Zea mays: one gene and its partners. The main gene of each other region encodes a partner of the protein of the gene in region 3 in a complex. Links are inferred from orthologs where the notes say so. Each region holds a gene or a part of one and is shown on either strand. Other genes may lie near its edges.

Region 1 (4,079 bases), on a different chromosome or scaffold from region 3:
TGTATGTCCAAAAACAATGTATATTTTGATTTATTTGAACACACAGTCGATGTCATTTCTGTTTGGCAATCCTAGGTAGAGATGGTAATGAAGTCCCGTTCCCCGCGGAGATATTACAAGACGGGGATAGTTACAATTTATTTCAATGAGGTATTAAAATGAGAAAGAATCATCTCCATCAGGTTTAGCGGGGACGAGTATGGTAGTCTCTTCTTCGTCCCTAATCCTCACGAGCCCATATAAACAGGCACTAAAGAATTCGGGCCATAGAATTAAGACTCAATGACCGACATATATAAAGTGACCAGCAAAGTGAGAAAACTAGCTTCTATTCTGTCATCGTCGCCGACTCGACTCTCTCGTTCGTCCTCCCAAATCCCAATCTCCCTCGAGCGGGCGGGCCAGGCAGCAGACCAGCTCTCCAGCGTGCTGGGTGCAGGGCTGCACCGCTACAAGCCGTGCAGCACACTGCACATCCCCTCAGGTTTGATTGTTTGAGACCGTCACAGTCATGTTCACCTGGAGGCTGGAGGCCGCTGGCCGCAGGTCTCTCACTCTCTTTGTCTCCTCAATTACTACTACCTAACACATCTTTGGTCACTTGTATTAGCAAATCTTGGGCAGCGGCACATCTGCACATGCCGTGCATTCATATAGCCACGTCCATGCTGCACGCACAAATTTTATTTTGTTTGATAATTACTTCCCCACCAAATGAGCTACGTTCTTGTCCAAAATTATAATAAATGCGCAAGTGATTTGCTGTGTGGTGGTGTGAAGCTCTGCGCGAAGTGATTTGTGTATTTTTTTCTCCTTTTTCATGAAATTTCGCAATTTAAGGTCATCTAATTTATTGGGTATGAGTACGACAGTTTAAGTATCAAATTTATGAATACCTAGTACCTAGTTAATCAGCAACCTTGCAGACCTAAAATATCCTAGATTTGTAGTAAGTTTTTCACCATCACCTTTTCAAAATTCTGTTACACAGTGTGGTTCCTCACTGAATTTTAAGTACTGTCATATGACAATTTGGTTCTGCTATTGCTGGACATAAATTTGTAATTCTCTGTTCACGCATTACACCGAACAACTACAGGGTACGGAGGGATTCAACGACAAACATAATAATCGCTTCTATTATTTTCGTAGGGGCAAGTAGGCCAGTCATCAACCGAGGTCAGCTGAGTCAGGAGAGGAGGAAGTGGCCCTCGGGTGTTCCATGATTCGTACGCAATTTTTTTTTTGGAAATTTAGATTCATACCATTAAAAGATCACCACTTTGGATCCATACCATTACTATCTCACTTATATATAGGTCCACATGAGTCAATGACATGTGTGATCCATGATATATATCTAAAGTTTGGATCTTTTAATGGTATAGATCTAATTGTTCTTTTTTTTTTTTGTGGACGGAAACTGCGGTGTCAAATTGCAAGAAATGGGTCGGACCGTGGGCTGTGAACATGGGTTTGGTGGGCGGGCGAAGAAGCCAGCGGGCCCAGCATCTTTATCGTCTGCCGCAAAGAGGGCTGAAGGAGAAGCGAGGAAAGGTGAGGCCGATAGATAGAGGAGCTGCGGCGCCGCCGGCGAGCGAAGAGTGGAGGATCCGATCCGAAGCGAGAGGACTGAATCCTGCGGCCGGGAGGGACGCGGGACCACGACGAGCGTCGTCGTCGGTGCCAAGCAACGGTGAGGCCGTCTCGGATCTGAACTTTTTTGTTTGGTTTTTTTCCCTCCCGTTCTGAATCGACATGGTGAGAGCAAGAGAGTTGGGAATTGGGACGGATCATGGAACTCCCCGAGGGCCACTTCTTCCTCCGACTCAGCTGACCTCGGTTGATGATTGGCCTACTTGCCGCTACGAAAATAATAGAAGCGATTATTATGTTTGTCGTTGAATCCCTCCGTGCCCTGTAGTTGTTCGGTGTAATGCGTGCACAGAGAATTACAAGATATCCGCTGAGATTATGCGCGCAAGAAAACGTGGAGCATCTTGCTGACCCTTTGTTCTGTCCTTCAACCAATCCTACAATCACTGCGACACCAGTCTATCACCTTCATGCGCGTCGTTTTCGTGCGAAAAGTTTGCAGTCCTGGTGCTGCTTCTTTGGTACTCCAACTGACGTTGTTTCTGTGTGGCGATGTAACCAGGCAGTTGTCCCTGTCCAGAGCACAGGCAAGATGGTTAACGCGATCAAGGGGCTGTTCATCTCCTGGTAAGCTCTCCTGACGCAGCTGAAAATGAATCCCTCGTTTGCATTTCTCCCTCTCTCCCTGCCTTTACATGGTTGCCGTCCGTCCGTCCCTCTATTTTTCAGCGACGTACCTATGGCACAGTTCATCGTCAACCTGAACGCGTCGATGCCGCCGTCGGAGAGGTTCATCGTGCACATGCTCGACCCTACCAACATGTTCGTGCAGCCTCACGTGGCGCACATGATCAGGAGCAAGATCGGGGAGTTCAGGGACCAGAACAGCTACGAGAAGCCGCAGTAGTGGAGGATCTACCGCGTCCTACACTCCTTCCTTGGGACTTGCTTTCGTTGCCTGTATTATTTCTGCTGTGAGCTGAGCACCTCAGCGGAAACGAGTACGCCAAATAGATCCCACCTGTGGCCTTGAAATCATACTGCTATGTGCTATAAACGTGCAGAGGGCACTGCTACTGTGCTGCACTTGTGGTATTCTGGGATTCTTTTTGTCAGGTCCTTAAAATCCGTTGAGAATTTGAGATCCAGATGGGGCTTAGACCCCGTTTCAATCTCACGGAATAAACTTTAGCTTCCTGCTAAACTTTAGCTATATGAATTGAAGTGCTAAAGTTTAGTTTCAATTACCACCATTAACTCTTCTGTTTAGATTATAAATGGCTAAAAGTAGCTAAAAAAAGCTGCTAAAGTTTATCTCGCGAGATTGGAACAGGGCCATAGTCACGTATATCTGTGCCTTTATTTGTATGTATCTTTGTCTTGCTATGGACAACAAAACTACGGTGGCACACTAACAGGTAGTTTGGAAATCCAAATCCTCTAGAGATCCCTATATTTTCCCTCGGTGAGTAATCCTAGGAACATTATCTGCATAAGGGCTTGCTTGAGAGCAATGATATTCAAAATTGAATAACATGAGAATTTTAGACTCTTATAAGCCCTTCTAGTATTCTTGCTCTCAAACAAACCCTAGGATTAGGGCTGGAAACGAGCCGAGCGGTGCAGCTCGGTGGCCGACCGAGCTCGGTTCGGCTCGTCTGTTTCACGAGCTGGAGAAACAGGCTCGGTTCAAAGGCGGCTCGCGAGCCATACCCTGATATTATATAATTTCATTATATAGTGAATTATTAGTATATAAATATGAAATATATAGATATCATTCATTATTATGAGTAATCTAAATTATTGTTTTTATATATCTATCATAAAACGCTAAGTAACTTACAATCTATAAAATTAGCTAATATCCATCATTATATCATTATTCTATATGTTAAGTAATTTGTCACAGCTCACGAGTCGGAACGAGCCGCTCGATGCTCGCGAGCCGAGCCGCTCCGAGCTCGAGCCGGCTCGCAAGCCTCGAGCTTATTTTCTAGCTCTACATAGGATATTTAGTTATTTATAGAAGGTTTTCTCTCACTCCATTTGTCTCCTATTTCTTGCAAACTAGGGCTAAGTTATATTATCTCCAGCAAGCTCTCTATTTTAAACTTCACTCTACAAACAGTGTAATTTACAATGCAAAACAATACTTAGCTTAGTGGTTACAAGTTATGTATCCATGATTTAAGCACATCCTAACTTAAAAAAAGAAAAAAAATACGACTATACCCACAAATTGGACGTACAAGTACGAATGAGTTTAAAAATTTGAAACGTGTTTAGTATAAGTTGTTATCATATTTAATTTCTATCTTCTATCTATATTTCTATGTGGTACTAAATTTGAAATGTGTTTAGATACGGCAGGAAAAGAACACTATAACATTGTATAGGAATGCAAAAATTTATGTTAATAAAATGTATGTTTAGATAAATTGAGTTGTAGATAGAAAAATAATACATGTAGGATATTATGT
Region 2 (5,226 bases), on a different chromosome or scaffold from region 3:
TGAACTAGATGTGAATGTGCATCTTGACCATGTACGGCAGTGGGACTACAAATTGCATATGTTTCATGTACATAAAATAAAACATGTCCAATATCTATACCGCTATATAATCCACCAGTTTTAACTTAGCAAAACCCACCCAACCAAATCACCCACACCCATAACCTTCAGTAAATCCACCAAACGAATTACACCCACACATAACACATCTTCAAAACCAACGGTTTAGATCGTTGTATAATCATCATCTCTCTTAGTCGCTAAAATATAATGGTCAACGTTATTTGGATCATTCTTCTCCTCTCATCCCTCACACGCCACTGCCTCGCCCTCTGCCTAGAGTCTGTCGCCCCTCCCCTCCCTCACGCCAGTGCTGGCTCCTCCTCTCCCCTCCCAAAGACCGTAGCGTTAGCACGGGTATAGACTAGTAGAGAAAAATGAGTTTGCTCCATATAATAAAACATTTAGCATCCATTGATAGTTAGGCAACAATGTTTGGTTCCAGGCCATTATTAACCAGGCCAAATTTTGGTCACAGTTTGACTAAGCTTGACTTCAAATTAAAATCATACTATAGAACAAAACTTTCACTCATATGGTTTATTTGACTATACCTAAGCTATATAAATGAGCAATTTATTATCTGACCAAATTTTAATTTAGAGTCAAATATGGTCAAATACTGACCAAATTTTGGCTTGGCCACCTAAGGCTTTAAACCAAATAGAACTAACCAAAATACACTAAAATCTCTCTCTATATCTCTACTATATTAAAATATGAGTTTCAACAGTCGTTCTGCGTCATCTTTTTACAAATAACACATCACATCTACTTCAAATTAACCTGTTGCACGCCTGTCCCCTTAACGGCAGCCTGGCACGGGCTCGACGCCCGCAGACCGCAGCTCTGGCCCAGGCACGACACACCGGCCCGTTAGCCCGTCGGGCCATTTGGTTAAATCAGCATAAAATGTTAAAAAATAGTGTCGAAGGTGGGGTTTGAACCCACGCCTATTGGAAGAATGGCGGGAGACACTAGGTGAAATCGTCTAACCAGTAGAACATCATACTCAGATGTTTTCAATATTGAATATAAATTGTACATGTGTATATATGCTTTTTTGTAAAATTAAAAATATATAATCGTGTCGGGTCGAGGCTACGGCCCAAGCATGGCACAACACTCATGTCGGGCTGGCCTAGACACTATTAAATGGGTCGTGCCTCAGACTAGCCCACCAGACACGACACATTTGATCATCTGTACCTTCGCACGATAATGATAGTACTCGACTCAGTTGTCACCACCTCGTTCGTCATCCTACTTCTTTTCTCTCTCCCCTCATGCCTCCGCCTCCGTGCCACCCCATTCTCGGCGGAGGGTGTGGAAGCAGACGCCTCCTCCCCATATTCGTCTGACACCAGCCCCTACACCGACCCACGCAGTGGCTATTGCACATCCATGAGGACGTTTCATAGCATGCGCGCACCATTGTTTTCGCCGCTGTCGGAAGTCTCGCTCGTCTTTCTGGCCTTCGCCATGTTCTTCCTCCCCAACCTGCTCCCCCGCCCACGGTTGCAGCCGCGAGCCGACCGACGCTCGTCGACACGAATATGGGGTGTGTCGGTCTTGCTCTTGGCCTTTCTCCGTGCGTGTTGCCGAGGAGGACACAATATTGTTGTGAGCCGTCGCAATAAAAAATTGTAAGATCTCTGTACGAGCCCAACCCAGAAGGTTGTACTTTAAATTCTACTCTAGGGGTACAAGGCCTGTTTGGTTCAACTTTTCTGAGAATCTGAATGTGGGGAGAATCTGGATGTGTAGAGAATTTGAGTATCGTTGCGATTATGTGCAAAGAAAGATGAATTTGTCTATAGGGCTCAGGATCTAGAAATTGACGGATTCCTATTATTGCAACGACTCAACCGATTATGTGTTTATATTGATTTCAGATGGTTTTACCAAAATTAATTTTATAGAAGCTAGCTAAAAAGTTGAGCGTTTAACCGTCCACAATAATTTTTGGTGGACAGAAACCGAAAAAACTGAAACAAAGAGGGCTATGAGTGGCCTTCCCACCCTTTGTATCGTTCATTCGTAGCCCGTAGCTCGCAGCCGACTCTGTTCTCTGTACCAGCCCAACCCAGAAGCCTATACTCGTTACGATTACGAGCCCACCAGCATCTCCTCTGCACGGGGGCATTCCACCGAGCACCTCACGTGATCTCCACCCCGCGGCGGCGGCGCGAGCACCGTCTCCGCCTCTCCGCTCTCCGGCGAATCAAACCCCTCCGGCGTTGCCCCTCGGTTGCCTTTCCCCTCCGCCACAATGCGGTTTGACCTGGATGGCCTGCCCGTGCACTTCCCGTACGCGGCGATCTACCCGGAGCAGCACGCGTACATGGGGGAGCTCAAGCGCGCCCTCGACGCGCGCGGGCACGCGCTGCTCGAGATGCCCACGGGCACCGGCAAGACGGCGGCGCTCATCTCCCTCATCACCTCCTACTCCCTCGCCAACCCGGCCCGCCCGCTCCGCCTCATCTATTGCACCCGCACCGTGCACGAGATGGAGAAGACCCTCGCCGAGCTCCGCCTCCTCTTCGCCCACCTCCCGCCCGCGGCCTCCCGCTCCCTCCTCGCGCTCGGCCTCTCCTCCCGCAAGAACCTCTGCATCCACCCGCAGGCGTCCGCCGCCGCCGCCCGGGACTCCGTCGACACCGCCTGCCGCCGCCTTACGGCCTCCTGGGTCCGCGAGAAGGCCTCCTCCGACCCGGACTCCACCCCGCTGTGCGAGTTCTACGAGACGTTCGACCGGGCCGCTGCCGCCGGCGACCTCGCCTCCTTCATGCCGCCCGGGGTGTACACCCTGGCAGACCTCCGCGCGCTCGGAAGGGAGCGCCGGGTCTGCCCTTACTTCCTTGCCAGGCAGATGGTCAAGTACGCCAATGTTGTGGTGTACAGCTACCAGTACCTGCTCGACCCCAAGGTGGCCAGCATTGTGTCCAGGGAGATGCAGAAGGAGTGTGTGGTCGTGTTCGATGAGGCTCACAACATTGACAATGTCTGCATAGAGGCGCTGAGCGTCAGCATCCGCAAGCAGACGCTGGAAGGCGCAGAGCGAAATCTGCGGCGCATCTCGCAAGAGATCGACAGGTACCACTCCCAATTGTTGGATATACTTAAGCCAGCCACCAATAGCCACTGAACGATAGGTCCTGTTTCTTTAGAACTATTCATCTTCAACTTTGTGATGGATAGTTAAGCTTGCTTTGCCAACTGCTTTATCTGGTAGGAAGGTTCAAGGCCACCGATGCCAATAGGCTTCGTGCTGAATACAACAGACTGGTGGATGGACTGGCACAGCGAGGAAATCTACCAAGTAAGCACTGGCCTTTTGCCACCAGTACTGCATTTCGCACTGTCAGCTATAGCCTTCTGCATATAGCTCACAGTATTATGCTTCTTGTGATGAAGTATCGGATGCTTGGCTCGCGAATCCGTCTTTGCCTGATGACATCTTGAAGGAAGCTGTTCCTGGAAACATAAGGAGGGCTGAACATTTTCTTGCTGTCTTGCGGAGGCTTGTGAGATTCCTTGATGGCCGGCTTGAAACAGAAAATGTTGAGAATGAAATGCCAGTTTCCTTTGTTGCCTCAATCCATTCCCAGGCTGGAATCGACCAAAAAATGCTGAGGTTTTGTTATGACCGGCTACACTCCCTAATGATGACATTAGAGATAACTGATACAGATGAGTTCATGCACATACAGACCATATGTGACTTTGCCACACTGATTGGAACTTATACACGGGGCTTTTCTATTATAATAGAGCCGTATGATGATAGAATGCCTGATATTCGTGATCCTGTTATTCAGGTACCCAGACTACTCTTTGTGATCATGCTGAAATTGTATACACACTCTGCTTCTTTAGTGTGCTACTAATGAACTCATTTGTTCTGCAGCTGAGTTGCCATGATGCTTCACTCGCAATAAGACCTGTTTTTGATCGTTTCGAAACGGTTGTGATCACTTCTGGAACTCTCAGCCCAATAGATCTTTACCCTCGTCTCTTGAATTTTAATCCTGTCATAAGCAGAAGCTTCACCATGTCCTTAACAAGAGATTGTATTTGTCCCATGGTCTTGACCCGAGGAAGGTATGAGCTGGTCCCACGCGAACTTCATATTTCAAAATCTACTGTACTGTAGCATGACACTTATGTTAAGCATGGCACTTATGTTAGTCTTTAAATGCTAGCATTGTCAACATATTCTTAGGTTTGGAAATGCTAACACTGTCTTGCGTATACATGATACATTTTTATTCCTGAGAATCATATGACACTTATGTTAAGCTTTTATAACATCTTTAGTTGTTTCCAACATTTCATATTACTGGTAGCATTGTACACTGTGTAAACACCAACCATTCCATCATCTTCAGTGATCAGCTACCTGTGAGTACAAAGTTCGATATGCGTAGTGATCCTGGTGTTGTGAGGAATTATGGCCGCCTCTTGCTGGAAATGGCTTCTGCTGTTCCAGATGGCATAGTTTGCTTTTTTGTCAGTTATTCCTATATGGATGGCATTGTCAACAGCTGGCACGAAATGGGAATTCTGCAGGTTATTTCTTTCACTTGTAAATTTCTTTCTCATATAAACCCTACAATTAATATAGATATGGCAATGAGGGATGTGTCTAATCGTGTAACACCTATGCAACTCAGCTAAGTTCATAAATCGTCCATATCTGTTAGATAATTGGGCATGTCCTCTGGAACATCATCGGTTTATAGTAAGTATATGAAATGGTGTCTAAGCATCTAATTCCATATTGTTGTCTGTTTTAGATTTTCCATTCAACTATCTATATTGATAATAACTTAATAAGACTATAAGTCTATAAGAGTCTCAAGTTGCATTAAGACTCACTCCTGTAGACACTGTCAAATTATTTATTACATCGGCAACATGCATAATTGCATATGGAACTGGATAGGCTGCTTTAAGTCTTTCCTTTGGTTCTAGATAGATGCTATCTAGTCTTTGGACAAAGAACTACATCTACCATATCTTCGGTTTTGTTATCTAAAGGATATGCTCGGTATTGGTGCTAATTTTTGTTATCCACAAAGATATGCTAGTCATCTGTGTTATGAAAATAAAATACCTGTAAATGTTATATAGCCAAGATAAGATGTATATGCATTAGTTCCA
Region 3 (5,382 bases):
ACCTTCTGTCAAGCCGAAGGTATAAATGTAATTCGATATTGTTCATATTCATTCATGATAATATAATAAAAATGTCCTGATAATATCATATGATTATTCATGTTATTTTCCATGTCTCATATGTTTCTACTTTTATTATTATATGCTGAGATGATGAAGGTATGTCCTTCATAACCTTCGTCTGATGATCATTATATCCTAAGGGAGATAATGCTTCGAAGGACGAAGGTCTTTGACTATTAACGTTTTGTGTTGTCTTGTTCTTAACTCATAGCATTTGAGAACAAGTGACCAACAACCCCCCTCTAGGCGACTTTCAAAAATCGTCACACATCTCTTTTCTAAATTTACGCGCGTGTAGAGTAACGTGTTTGACTCATGTATGCCTTCCTTATTTTTTTTGCGCGCACAGATGTGGGGTTGGGGGGGGTGCACCCAACAGCCTGCTTAGGGTGTGGGTGGACGCGCTGGCCTGGACAAGTCACATAGGTGGTCGGGCGGGGCTTGCTCTAACTATTTGAAGCTCATGACTTCTAATATACCGACCTTATATATACACACACTAGCCAATTGCTCGTGTTTTGCTACGGTTGTTATTTACCTTATAAATAAGTATTGATATATGTATTCAAATATAATTATTGTTTATTTGTAAATATTAAGATACGCGTGGTCTGGTGGTTAGCCCCAAATTTCTGGAATAGAGAGGCATGGATTCGAGTGATCGTTTTGCACTATTTTTTGCACGTGGGGCCCACAGAGCACGACACCGAGGTAGGGCACGTGGGACGGGGCTAGAGTGTGAGCGCAGAGGGTGCCCACACTAGCACGCTAGTCGCACGTCAGCCACTATTCTCCATGAATCATGAAGGGAAACATGGACCTAAGGCTATCTGCAGCGGTCTTCTCTAAATTTCTCTCCATATATCACTTTTTTTTGTTACATCTTCAATATTTCAGCCCTTTAACTTTTCATCTCCCGCAGCGGTCTCTCCTATTTTCTCCCCTTGTAACTCACTACAACCATAAAATATTATTTCATATATTATTTTTTATCCACTATTAATTTTTCTTATATTAACAATTAGAGCCGAATCCAGATTACAGTAAAATAGAGAAGACGAGCGCACGCTACATTCAGTGGAAAAGAGAAGAGGACGGCACGCCCTTGCATCGTGGGAGGCACCGTAGACGTAGGGGCAGCGCTGCGGACTGCCGTGCGCCGTCATGTGTAAGGGGATGGGGCGCGACGCCCGGCAGCCGCTGCAGTTAGCCTAAAGTCGGCCTACACGTCTCCTCAACTTCAGCCGCCTGCTCAGTTGACAAGTTCAGAGCACTGTTTAAGTACTTTGTTGCTGAGCTGACGGAAGGAAGCAGAAATCAGATAACCACTGACTGGCAAATGTCGTCTGATGGTTGGTAGCACATGTTTCGTTGACCCATTTTCCATCAAGGATGGCATAGAGAGAAAAAAAACGAAGTGTAAACTCTTGAAGTCAGCACCACTTGCATTCTTATGTTTTGGTTGCTGTGTTCTAAACTATCTATTCAGATGTCTCCTGTATACATTTTCTTTACTCTGATATACCGGTATTTCTATATTCCGCTGCTTTTTTTTTTTTGCATTCCTCTATTTTGAATGCTCCTGTATCAAACAGATGCTTAGAAAATTGGTAAAAGGGGCTTAAGGCTCCTGTAAACCAAACCAAAAGCCCAGGAGCCCCAAACTGGAGGCACCAAGCACCCGCCTGGCCCATGTGCTGGTCCCCGAATCCCGACCTCGCCTCCAGTTCCACTCTTCCGGCGGCGTCGGCGGCCGCCCCTTCCCCACGCCCACACCATGTACGGCGTCGGCGGCGGCTTCAACGCGCCCTCCACCGCTGCCTCTCGGCGCCGCAACCCAGGCGACGAAGAGGAGGACGAGGAGGATGAGGGCGGTGAGGGCCGCGTCCTGGAGGCGTGGGAGCGCGCGTACGCGGACGAACGGTCGTGGGAGTCACTGCAGGAGGATGAGTCGGGCCTCCTCCGTCCCGTCGACACCAAGACCCTCGTCCACGCGCAGTACCGCCGGCGCCTCCTACTCCGGTCTGCCGCCGCCGCCGCTGCCCGCATCCAAAAGGGGCTCATCCGCTACCTCTACATCGTCATAGACCTCTCCCGGGTTCGTTCCCTTTGCTTCATGTTCTCTTTCGTTCGGCTTGCCACATCATCAAGCACCTGGCGAGCATATTTTTCTTCGAAGTCGGTTTGGTTGTTTTGGACCCGACAGACTGGTACAAATGCCGATCGTGCTAACTTGACACCGGCTTGTGATTGCGATCTCTTGTTCCGAGAGAGATGTGGCATTGCTTACGGCCTTACTTATGGGCTACACATTTGGTTCTTAAGTGTTCACTTACTTAAGGCATGAACGGAGCAGTGAATACTAGGACTGCCTTTTGCTAGTTTCGTATACCTGTAGGTTCATCTATAAGCTTGTGAAATGTTGTGAAGATGGTGCGGTGATGCCTGTCTGTGAGTAATCCTGGTTTATTTGTTTGTAGAGCGATGTAGGTGATATGATCTGATTGGTTGCCTTTAATGCCGTTTGTTTAGCCCCAAGCTGTGACCATTATCTTATTTGGCTTGTACATTCAGAGGGTGATGCTGTAATTGGAAGACACGAGGCCAATTTTAGAATCTAATGCTGATTTAGCAACTTTAAGATTGAGTCTTTGAGAGATCAATCATTTTATGTGAGGAAACAGTTTGTTAGATGGGTAAAAACGGTATTTTGGAAATTCTAAGATCTACCATGGTTTGTATCCATGGCCCATTGGCCAGGGCATAGGTATGGAGAACTCGAGACCTAATTCTCCACTAAATCCAGAAACCAATGCTACCTTAAGGTTATACGGTAAGAATTTCTGTACTGCAGAATAATAGACTCATGTCTATGAATCATGAAGGGAAACATGAACCCAGGTATTTGCAAATTGCAATTGTTAGTATTGCTGTTGGCAGCAATATTTTGTTTGGAGTTCAAGCCTACCACAACCAAGCAGTCCAAGTTCAATTTTATATGTGTGCACACCAATTGGATTGCTGAAACAAAATGTTGATGACACAATACTTGTTTGGAATTTTCATATATTGAGATTGGATTATCGTTTCATTTTATGCATGAGGTTCTTATCGGATGAATCCTGTTAAATTCTGAAATGTTTTAACTTTTAAGCATACTTTCTGATCTGGATACACTATGTATATTTGATATATGTCGGATAGAGTGAATGTCTCATGTCTCCCTCATCAAACAGACTATTTTTTTTTTCATCAGTTTGAAGGTGTTCCTGGGGAGGGTTATTGCTATTGCTGCCTGGATATGTCTGAAGATGCTTTTTTAATTGTTTCCCCACATCTGGGAAGTTAATTCTCTCTGTCAATCCTTGTATAGATTTCTGTAGAGAAGCAAATCACGTGCCATATGGTTTTGTTTTTACCATTGGCATGGCTTGCTCCAACAAAATCCTGACATCACAAGAAGTGCATGAACTATGGTTGCAGGAAAAGGTCTTTAACAATTACCACATAGTTGATCTATGGAACACTTCTATATGTAGACACAAAATATAGACTACTCTTGGAATTTAAAAATAAAAGGATGTTTTCATTTTTTTTGGTATTGATCCAGACCCTATGGATTTGCACAAATGAACAGTTAATCTTCACTGATGAATTAGGTAGATATGGAATTATTTGATACATGTTCATTTGACTTATGGTAACATTATTCCAGGACTTACTGCAAAGAGTCATCAGGATGTGATAATTTATTTTTGTTGTTAAAAATGTGCAAAGAATAATGTCTATTCAGCTGATTGTATATTTTATAATGTCAATTGAGATTTGAGAATGAAACAATCAAACACTGCTTTAACTAACATGGATTTTTTTTCTGATATGACAAAGCATACATTTTGATTTTTGTATTGTTTCGAAACTGCACATTTCTCGTAAAAAATATCTCTCTAACATCCTTGTCAATTGTTTTTTTCTCTGGTAATTTTATAACCTTATCTTTGAGCATGCATACATGTTTCAAGTTTATAAGATTGGCTTCCTCAGTTGTTTTTGTGGCAGCGAAGAATTGTTCTACTTCAAATAATCATTACACGCTCTTTGCACCTTTGCGTTCTCAAAATTGTTTTTTACTCATGTAGGCGGCTTCAGAGATGGATTATCGTCCTAGTCGAATGGCTGTTGTTGCAAAACATGCTGAGGCTTTCATAAGAGAATTCTTTGACCAGAATCCATTGAGCCATGTTGGCCTAGTGACAATTAAAGATGGTATTGCCCATCGACTTACAGAAATCGGAGGGAGCCCAGAGTCACAGATTAAGGCTTTGATGGGGAAGCTTGAGTGTTCTGGTGATTCATCCCTGCAGAATGCTCTAGACCTCGTACATGGTTATTTAGATCAAGTACCATCATATGGTCACAAGGAAGTTCTGATTTTATACTCTGCCCTGAATACATTTGATCCTGGTGATATCACGGAGACAATAGCAAAGTGTAAGAAGTCAAAAATTAGATGCTCTGTTATTGGTCTTGCTGCAGAGATCTTCATTTGCAAACATCTATGTGAAGAGACTGGTGGATCTTACACAGTTGCACTGGATGAGGTGCTAAGATGTAATTTTGATTTTACCTTTGATTATTCGATCGTTATGAAAGATTAACGGCATTTCCTTTCTTTTTACAGTCTCATTTCAAAGAGTTGTTACTGGAACATGCTCCCCCACCTCCTGCAATAGCAGAATATGCTGCAGCTAATTTGATTAAGATGGGCTTTCCACAGAGGGGTGCTGAGGAGCTTATCTCTATTTGCTCTTGTCACAAGAAGATAAAATCTGGGGCTGAAGGTTACATATGTCCTAGATGCAAAGTTAATGTCTGTGAGCTTCCAACAGAATGTCGAACTTGTGGTCTTACGCTAGTTAGTTCTCCACACTTGGCAAGGTCGTATCATCATCTCTTCCCAGTACCACCGTTTGATGAGGTCACCCCTGTCCCAAATAGAATTCAAAGGGGAGGGCAGATCTGTTTCAGCTGCCAGCAGAGCCTTTATAACCCAGGTATGCTTAAGCTGTCAAAGCTCGTGTCCGCTACTTCTTTAGACTAGAAAATATATCTTTCACCTAGCCTGCATATGTTCAATGGTACAAACCTTATAGTTGATAGCAGGTATTTCATAAATTCATATGTCCTTTTTTTTTGCAAGGAATAGTGGTACCTGTCCTCTTTTTGAGGAATTGTGATACCTGTCCTTATTCTAACTATTCTTTCTTAGTAAAGCATGTCCAACTAAAAACAAGATGGCATGGCAATATGGGGAGCTTA
Region 4 (5,159 bases), on a different chromosome or scaffold from region 3:
GACAACCAGCTGTAAACTCCAATTTTATAAGGAAGGAAGCACGGGCGTAGTCCAGGCCGAAAAACTGTTAAGCCCAAGCACAGAATATTGGGCCAGGCCCACGTATAGTCCAGGAGACCAGGAATCACCAGTCATCAGTCTCCACTCTCCAGTACGAGAGCCACGCACACTCCCACTACATTTGGGTTATGCATAACAGGTTGGCCCAAAGCCCACAATTCTAGTTATGACTCAGTCCTTCACAGCTCAACCTATCTATAGGCTCGGGCCGGCCTGAGATAATGCATGGACCGTGCCTGGGCCTCAACTTAAGCACACAGACCGGCCTGACACGACCCATTTAACTAAGGTACACTAAAGCCTACTAGCAATTCTATCCGTCCGATAGTATGGCGGCGCCGCCATCCAACGACCACTAGCCATTCGACCATTTCCCCACCATTTGGTGCATTTCCGGATTCCCCAAGGCCCAAACGCAAGTCACCAAAACGGCAAAACTAGACAACCCGCCGACCGCCGCAACCCTAAACCTAAAGTCCTAAACGGCTAAACGCTCAGTCGCTCACACGTAGAGATGGTAATGGATACCCGAAACCTGAATACTCGACGGGTTTTACCCGATATGAAGGCGGGTACGGGATGATTTCTCTACCCGCAGATATGTTAATGGGTAAAACCTCTACCCGTTGGGTAGACGGGTATGGGTACGAGTTGGTACTACCCGTACCCGTCTACCCATGGGTAAAATATGCCCGCATCAATACCACTATAACCATCTAATAGAGCTCATCCTAGCTAAAATAAAACTCTTCTTTTACTATCATTTGTCTAGATACCAAGTTATGTGATTATATGATTTGTTATATGTGAAGTTGATTTTTTTTGCATGTTTATTTAATATTTTGAGTGATTGGTATATTGAAATTTAAGACTTTCCTATCGGGTTCGGGTTGCGCGACGGGTAAAAATACCCGCGCGGGTACGTGTATGGGTAAGATTTTATACCCGCAAACATATATGGGTAATCCGACAGGTAGATTTTTTTTGATAGATACGGGTATGAAATGATACTATCGGACGGTTGGACTGGGCAAAAAGAATCGGAACCGAGGAACCGAAACCGAACTAACCGAACCGAGGAACCGTTATGAAATTTGGTTCTGTTTTTCTAAGAACCGAAATAAATGAGACATTTTCGGTTCTGCACTCCAAAGAACCGAAAAACTCAAAAGTATTAGATTCAATTTGTTACATGTGTTTGTAACTTCGGATGTTGTGTTATCAACTTATGTTGAACCTCTAATCATCCATGTATTATTTATGAAATTATGGTCATTGCGCACTTGTGGTTGTTTATGGGGAGATGTTGCTGAAATTTGTCACAAAAGTTGTCGTTATTCAGAATTTTAGAGTGACTGTTATAGTTCGGTTAGAACCGAGGAACCGAACTGAAGAACCGAGAACCAAATTAGTCGATTATAGTTTTTTTTATCTTACTATTTCGGTTCTAGTTTTTAAAGGACCGAATTTCTACAAGAACCGATGAACCGAACCGAATAACCGAACGCCCGGTCCTACCGGACGGGTATGCCCGTTGCCATCCCCACACGCCGCTCACACGCCGCCTCCCTCGTTCTCGCGCCGACGCTCGCCGCACCGCCTCCCTCTCCCTCGTTGTCGCGCCGCCTCCCTGTCCCTCGTTCTCGAGCCGCCACACCGCCTCCCCAGCCGGCCAGGTAACACACGGCGGCTCTTCCCTGCTGGGCTTCGGAGCTGCCAGTCTGCCACGCCGCCGCCCCAGCAGAGAGGCGAGCACCCCCGCCGGCGCCTCGGAGCTTTGAATTGGCTGGGCGCGCGACCGGCCTCTGCCGCCGGGCCGCGAGCAGCAGCAACCCCCCTCGCCGGCCATGACCTCCGCTCACTCCAAGCTCTACTCCGGTGAGCCACGCGCCACTCTTGCATCCCCGTACTCCGCGATGCCCTCATGGTCCTAACACACACGCGCTCAACCCATCTGGTGCCACCCGTCGGCGCGTGCAGATGACGTCAGCCTCGTCGTGGTCGTCGTCGACACGAACCCCTTCTTCTGGGCCGCCGCGGCGCTCCCCTTCGCCGACTTCTTCGCGCACGTATGCAACCCTAACCCTCCATTTGCTTCCCTGCGCCTGCTTCCTTGTTCGATCTTCACTGGCGATTTTGTGCGTTAGATGACTCGTTGGTAGCGGTGCCCTGATCCGTCCATTGGGCCTTGGCTTGATGTGATATCCATGCCCGTGCAGCTGATCCACTTCGTGAACTCCCTCCTGCTGCTGAACCACCTCAACCGTGTGGTCGTCATCGCGGCGGGAGTCAGCTCGTGTGCCTACATCCTGGATTCCAGCGATGCCAGCCCCTCCGGTGGTGTGGCCGTCTCGGACACCTTCGACAAGGCAAGCCGCAAGGCGGAGGAGTTCATTGCACAAGATGCGCGCGCCACTGCAGGCAACGGTTCCGTTGCTTCTGCCAATGCCGCGTCGCTGCTCTCTGGGGCGCTGTCCATCTCTTTGTGCTGTATCCAGTCGCTTGAATTCCTTGACTATTGCACATTCACCTATCTTATTTGTGCTCGTGTTGCTTAACATTGAGGTTATTTAGATATACAGAGGATTTTCCGGTCTGGGTCTCGGCATCCACAACCTCGGGTGAGTGTAGAGTTCTGAGTAATGTTTAATTTCATCATTTGTGATCAACAAATAATGCTTTGTTTGGCCCATAATTTGTTGTAGTCAGTATTCTCATACTTATTATAATGCCACGGCAGTTGATACTAACACGAGATACAGATTTTGTGCCTGCAGGGATCTCCAGACGGACCTGAACAGTATGCACGCATCGTCATCAATGCAGTTTCTAGTTTTTTTTCAGGACCTAGTTTTCACTTCATCAAATTTATGTGCAGATATGTGGCAGTGATGAATTCAATATTTTCTGCTCAACGTTCCATGGTATCACATCAATTGCTTAATCCATTTTAGTCCCATTGAGATTTATTGATCTTTTCGTTTCACCAGCCAGTCACTATGTTGTTACTTATTACTCCTTCTGTCCCAGTATATAAGGCGTAACCACCTCTGGCTCAAAGACCAAGAAATGTATTTAATTCTCTCTATACTTTTGCATCGATGTACGCATGTCTAGAGATAATACGCCTTGTATTATGGGACTAGAATAAAAAGTAGTTACACCTTATACACTAAGATAGAGTAAGTACTTAATATCCAAATTTGACACATGTAGTGGGTTCAGAAAGAGCAAGACATTGGAATGTGCCTATGTAGATATGCATCCATAATTGTTCCAAAACTTTAGCTACGGTGGCTTAATGACTGGCAACATTCTTACTAATCTCTTAGGTACCAATTGACTCTTGTATTGTGGGAACCCAGGATTCTGCTTTCTTGCAGCAGGTAATGCTCTTTAGTACTCATCAAATTCATCCACATGTTATACTGTCACAACATCCTCTTGCTGACTAGTTACCGATATTTCATTATGCAGGCTTCGTACATAACAGGAGGAGTTTATTTGAAGCCACAAGAACTAAATGGCCTGTTTCAATACCTTGCCGTAAGTTATCCAGGCTCCCTCTGCTGATATTAATATATCAGCTCATATAGTTCTATTTTTCCTTTTGGGGGCTTTTGAGAATGTATTTATATCCCTACTACTCTATAAGTCCTCATTGTAGGCGTCCACATGTGCGTCATGTTCTGCCTCTCGACGCCCGCCTGCCCGCGCGTCCCGCTCCTGCGCGCCCCCGCTCGTGATGCCCGTCCCGCCTCCCCGCTGTGGCAGCCGCCTTCGCGTCCACCGCGAGATCCCCGCCCTTCCCATGGAACCCCGCTCTGCACCCCTCCCAGAGCTCTGTCGTGTCATCCCCGCCCTGCCCCCCCTCGAAACCCCGTTCCCTCCGGCCCCGCCCTCGCCCTCCTCCCACTCCGACGCACTCGAGAAGCCGTTAGCCAACGCCGCCGCTTCCACCTCTGAGTCCTTCGTGGCGCTCAAGGCCCATTATCCCCCGCCTCCCCCTCCCGTGCCGCCTAGGTCTCGTTGGATAAGATGTCGATCCGGGGTCGATGAGCACTAGACCTTCTCCGATTCTCTAGCGACCCTCCCCCACAACCACGGTCTCGCGCGAGCTTGGTCGGCTTCGTCAGCGAAGCTAGGCAGCAGGCGTGGGCAGTCGGGCTGGTCCAGGGACGCCAGCTCGCATCTGTCGGTTTCCATCCGCAAAGGTAGCAGCAGACGTCGCCGTCGACTGTCGCGGGCACCGACGACCAACACCACCTTCCCTTCGGCCCAAGATCAGCATCTGTAAACGCCTTTGACCGTCTGTGCCTCGATCCAAGCTCAAACCACGGGCAAGCAAACACATCGCATCTCCAACCTCCTCGGTTCGGTCGGCTACCCCAGATCGACAGCTTTCAGGTGTGTGTTCCCCTATTTTTTTATTTTTTGGATGAACACTAATGGTTATGAGGTGAATAAAGTGGCGAATAAAGTACCCTGCTATGAGTTTGAGATAATTCAATGTTGTGTGAGAAAGAGCAAAACCTTGTCACACTTTGCCCACCTGAGCCAGCACGAAACCTTCTCCGGCAATCGGTAGGGTTCCAATGTCGCAGGATCCACCTCGAGGGATTTGGGATCTGTCCAAATGTACACACCGCGCTCTTGTCTGCTGCCTGGCACTGTGTTGTCAAGGATCAACGCGACAAGGAGAGCCACCACAACGTTGATGGATAGGAGCACGTTCACTGCATAGTTCAGCTGCAGGACAATTTAGACTGTCAGTAATTCGATTGACGGGAACACATTCTAGCTGCACGGGTAAGGAAGGCAGCAGAGCTCACCCCGCTGCTGGCTGTGCGAACTGGCCCACTTGACGCTGCAGCATATGGAAGAAGATAGCTGGGCAAGATTAGGTTGCAGCTGGGTTCATACTGCTGAAAGTATGCGGGTATCGACAAGGAGATGAACAGGGTAAATCCAACTATTATCATGTTCCTGGAGCGTGCTGCTTGGGTGTATCGCAATGTGGACAAACCAAGCGCGACAATTAGCGCCCAGGTGAAGCACAGAACAGAGGCGGCCAAGGCAAGAGGTATAGAGGCTAGGAG

Evidence for each region.
Region 1: General transcription factor IIH subunit 2-like (region 3) and REX1 DNA Repair family protein share a complex: the UniProt entries of both Arabidopsis thaliana proteins name them as parts of the 7-subunit TFIIH core complex. The link is inferred for Zea mays from reciprocal best matches to the Arabidopsis thaliana genes GTF2H2 and AT1G12400.
Region 2: General transcription factor IIH subunit 2-like (region 3) and DNA repair helicase UVH6 share a complex: the UniProt entries of both Arabidopsis thaliana proteins name them as parts of the 7-subunit TFIIH core complex. The link is inferred for Zea mays from reciprocal best matches to the Arabidopsis thaliana genes GTF2H2 and UVH6.
Region 4: General transcription factor IIH subunit 2-like (region 3) and General transcription and DNA repair factor IIH subunit TFB4-like share a complex: the UniProt entries of both Arabidopsis thaliana proteins name them as parts of the 7-subunit TFIIH core complex. The link is inferred for Zea mays from reciprocal best matches to the Arabidopsis thaliana genes GTF2H2 and AT1G18340.

What each region holds. Positions count from the first base shown.
Region 1 is NC_050101.1:47,598,729-47,602,807, reverse strand, and holds REX1 DNA Repair family protein, read left to right. Parts: upstream 1-1,510; 5' UTR 1,511-1,696; intron 1,697-2,158; 5' UTR 2,159-2,188; coding exon 2,189-2,223; intron 2,224-2,325; coding exon 2,326-2,503; 3' UTR 2,504-2,742; downstream 2,743-4,079. UniProt on the Arabidopsis thaliana protein: Component of the general transcription and DNA repair factor IIH (TFIIH) core complex, which is involved in general and transcription-coupled nucleotide excision repair (NER) of damaged DNA and, when complexed to CAK, in RNA transcription by RNA polymerase II.
Region 2 is NC_050105.1:91,195,310-91,200,535, forward strand, and holds the start of DNA repair helicase UVH6, read left to right. Parts: upstream 1-2,107; 5' UTR 2,108-2,332; coding exon 2,333-3,156; intron 3,157-3,299; coding exon 3,300-3,382; intron 3,383-3,477; coding exon 3,478-3,881; intron 3,882-3,970; coding exon 3,971-4,164; intron 4,165-4,451; coding exon 4,452-4,632; intron 4,633-5,226. UniProt on the Arabidopsis thaliana protein: ATP-dependent 5'-3' DNA helicase, component of the general transcription and DNA repair factor IIH (TFIIH) core complex, which is involved in general and transcription-coupled nucleotide excision repair (NER) of damaged DNA and, when complexed to CDK-activating kinase (CAK), involved in transcription by RNA polymerase II.
Region 3 is NC_050097.1:31,348,922-31,354,303, forward strand, and holds the start of General transcription factor IIH subunit 2-like, read left to right. Parts: upstream 1-1,820; 5' UTR 1,821-1,840; coding exon 1,841-2,161; intron 2,162-4,202; coding exon 4,203-4,664; intron 4,665-4,744; coding exon 4,745-5,117; intron 5,118-5,382. UniProt on the Arabidopsis thaliana protein: Component of the general transcription and DNA repair factor IIH (TFIIH) core complex, which is involved in general and transcription-coupled nucleotide excision repair (NER) of damaged DNA and, when complexed to CAK, in RNA transcription by RNA polymerase II.
Region 4 is NC_050099.1:247,476,845-247,482,003, reverse strand, and holds the start of General transcription and DNA repair factor IIH subunit TFB4-like, read left to right. Parts: upstream 1-1,701; 5' UTR 1,702-1,907; coding exon 1,908-1,938; intron 1,939-2,040; coding exon 2,041-2,129; intron 2,130-2,279; coding exon 2,280-2,550; intron 2,551-2,625; coding exon 2,626-2,681; intron 2,682-2,822; coding exon 2,823-2,860; intron 2,861-2,938; coding exon 2,939-2,984; intron 2,985-3,392; coding exon 3,393-3,446; intron 3,447-3,537; coding exon 3,538-3,606; intron 3,607-4,499; exon of another isoform or gene 4,500-4,809; intron 4,810-4,892; exon of another isoform or gene 4,893-5,159. UniProt on the Arabidopsis thaliana protein: Component of the general transcription and DNA repair factor IIH (TFIIH) core complex, which is involved in general and transcription-coupled nucleotide excision repair (NER) of damaged DNA and, when complexed to CAK, in RNA transcription by RNA polymerase II.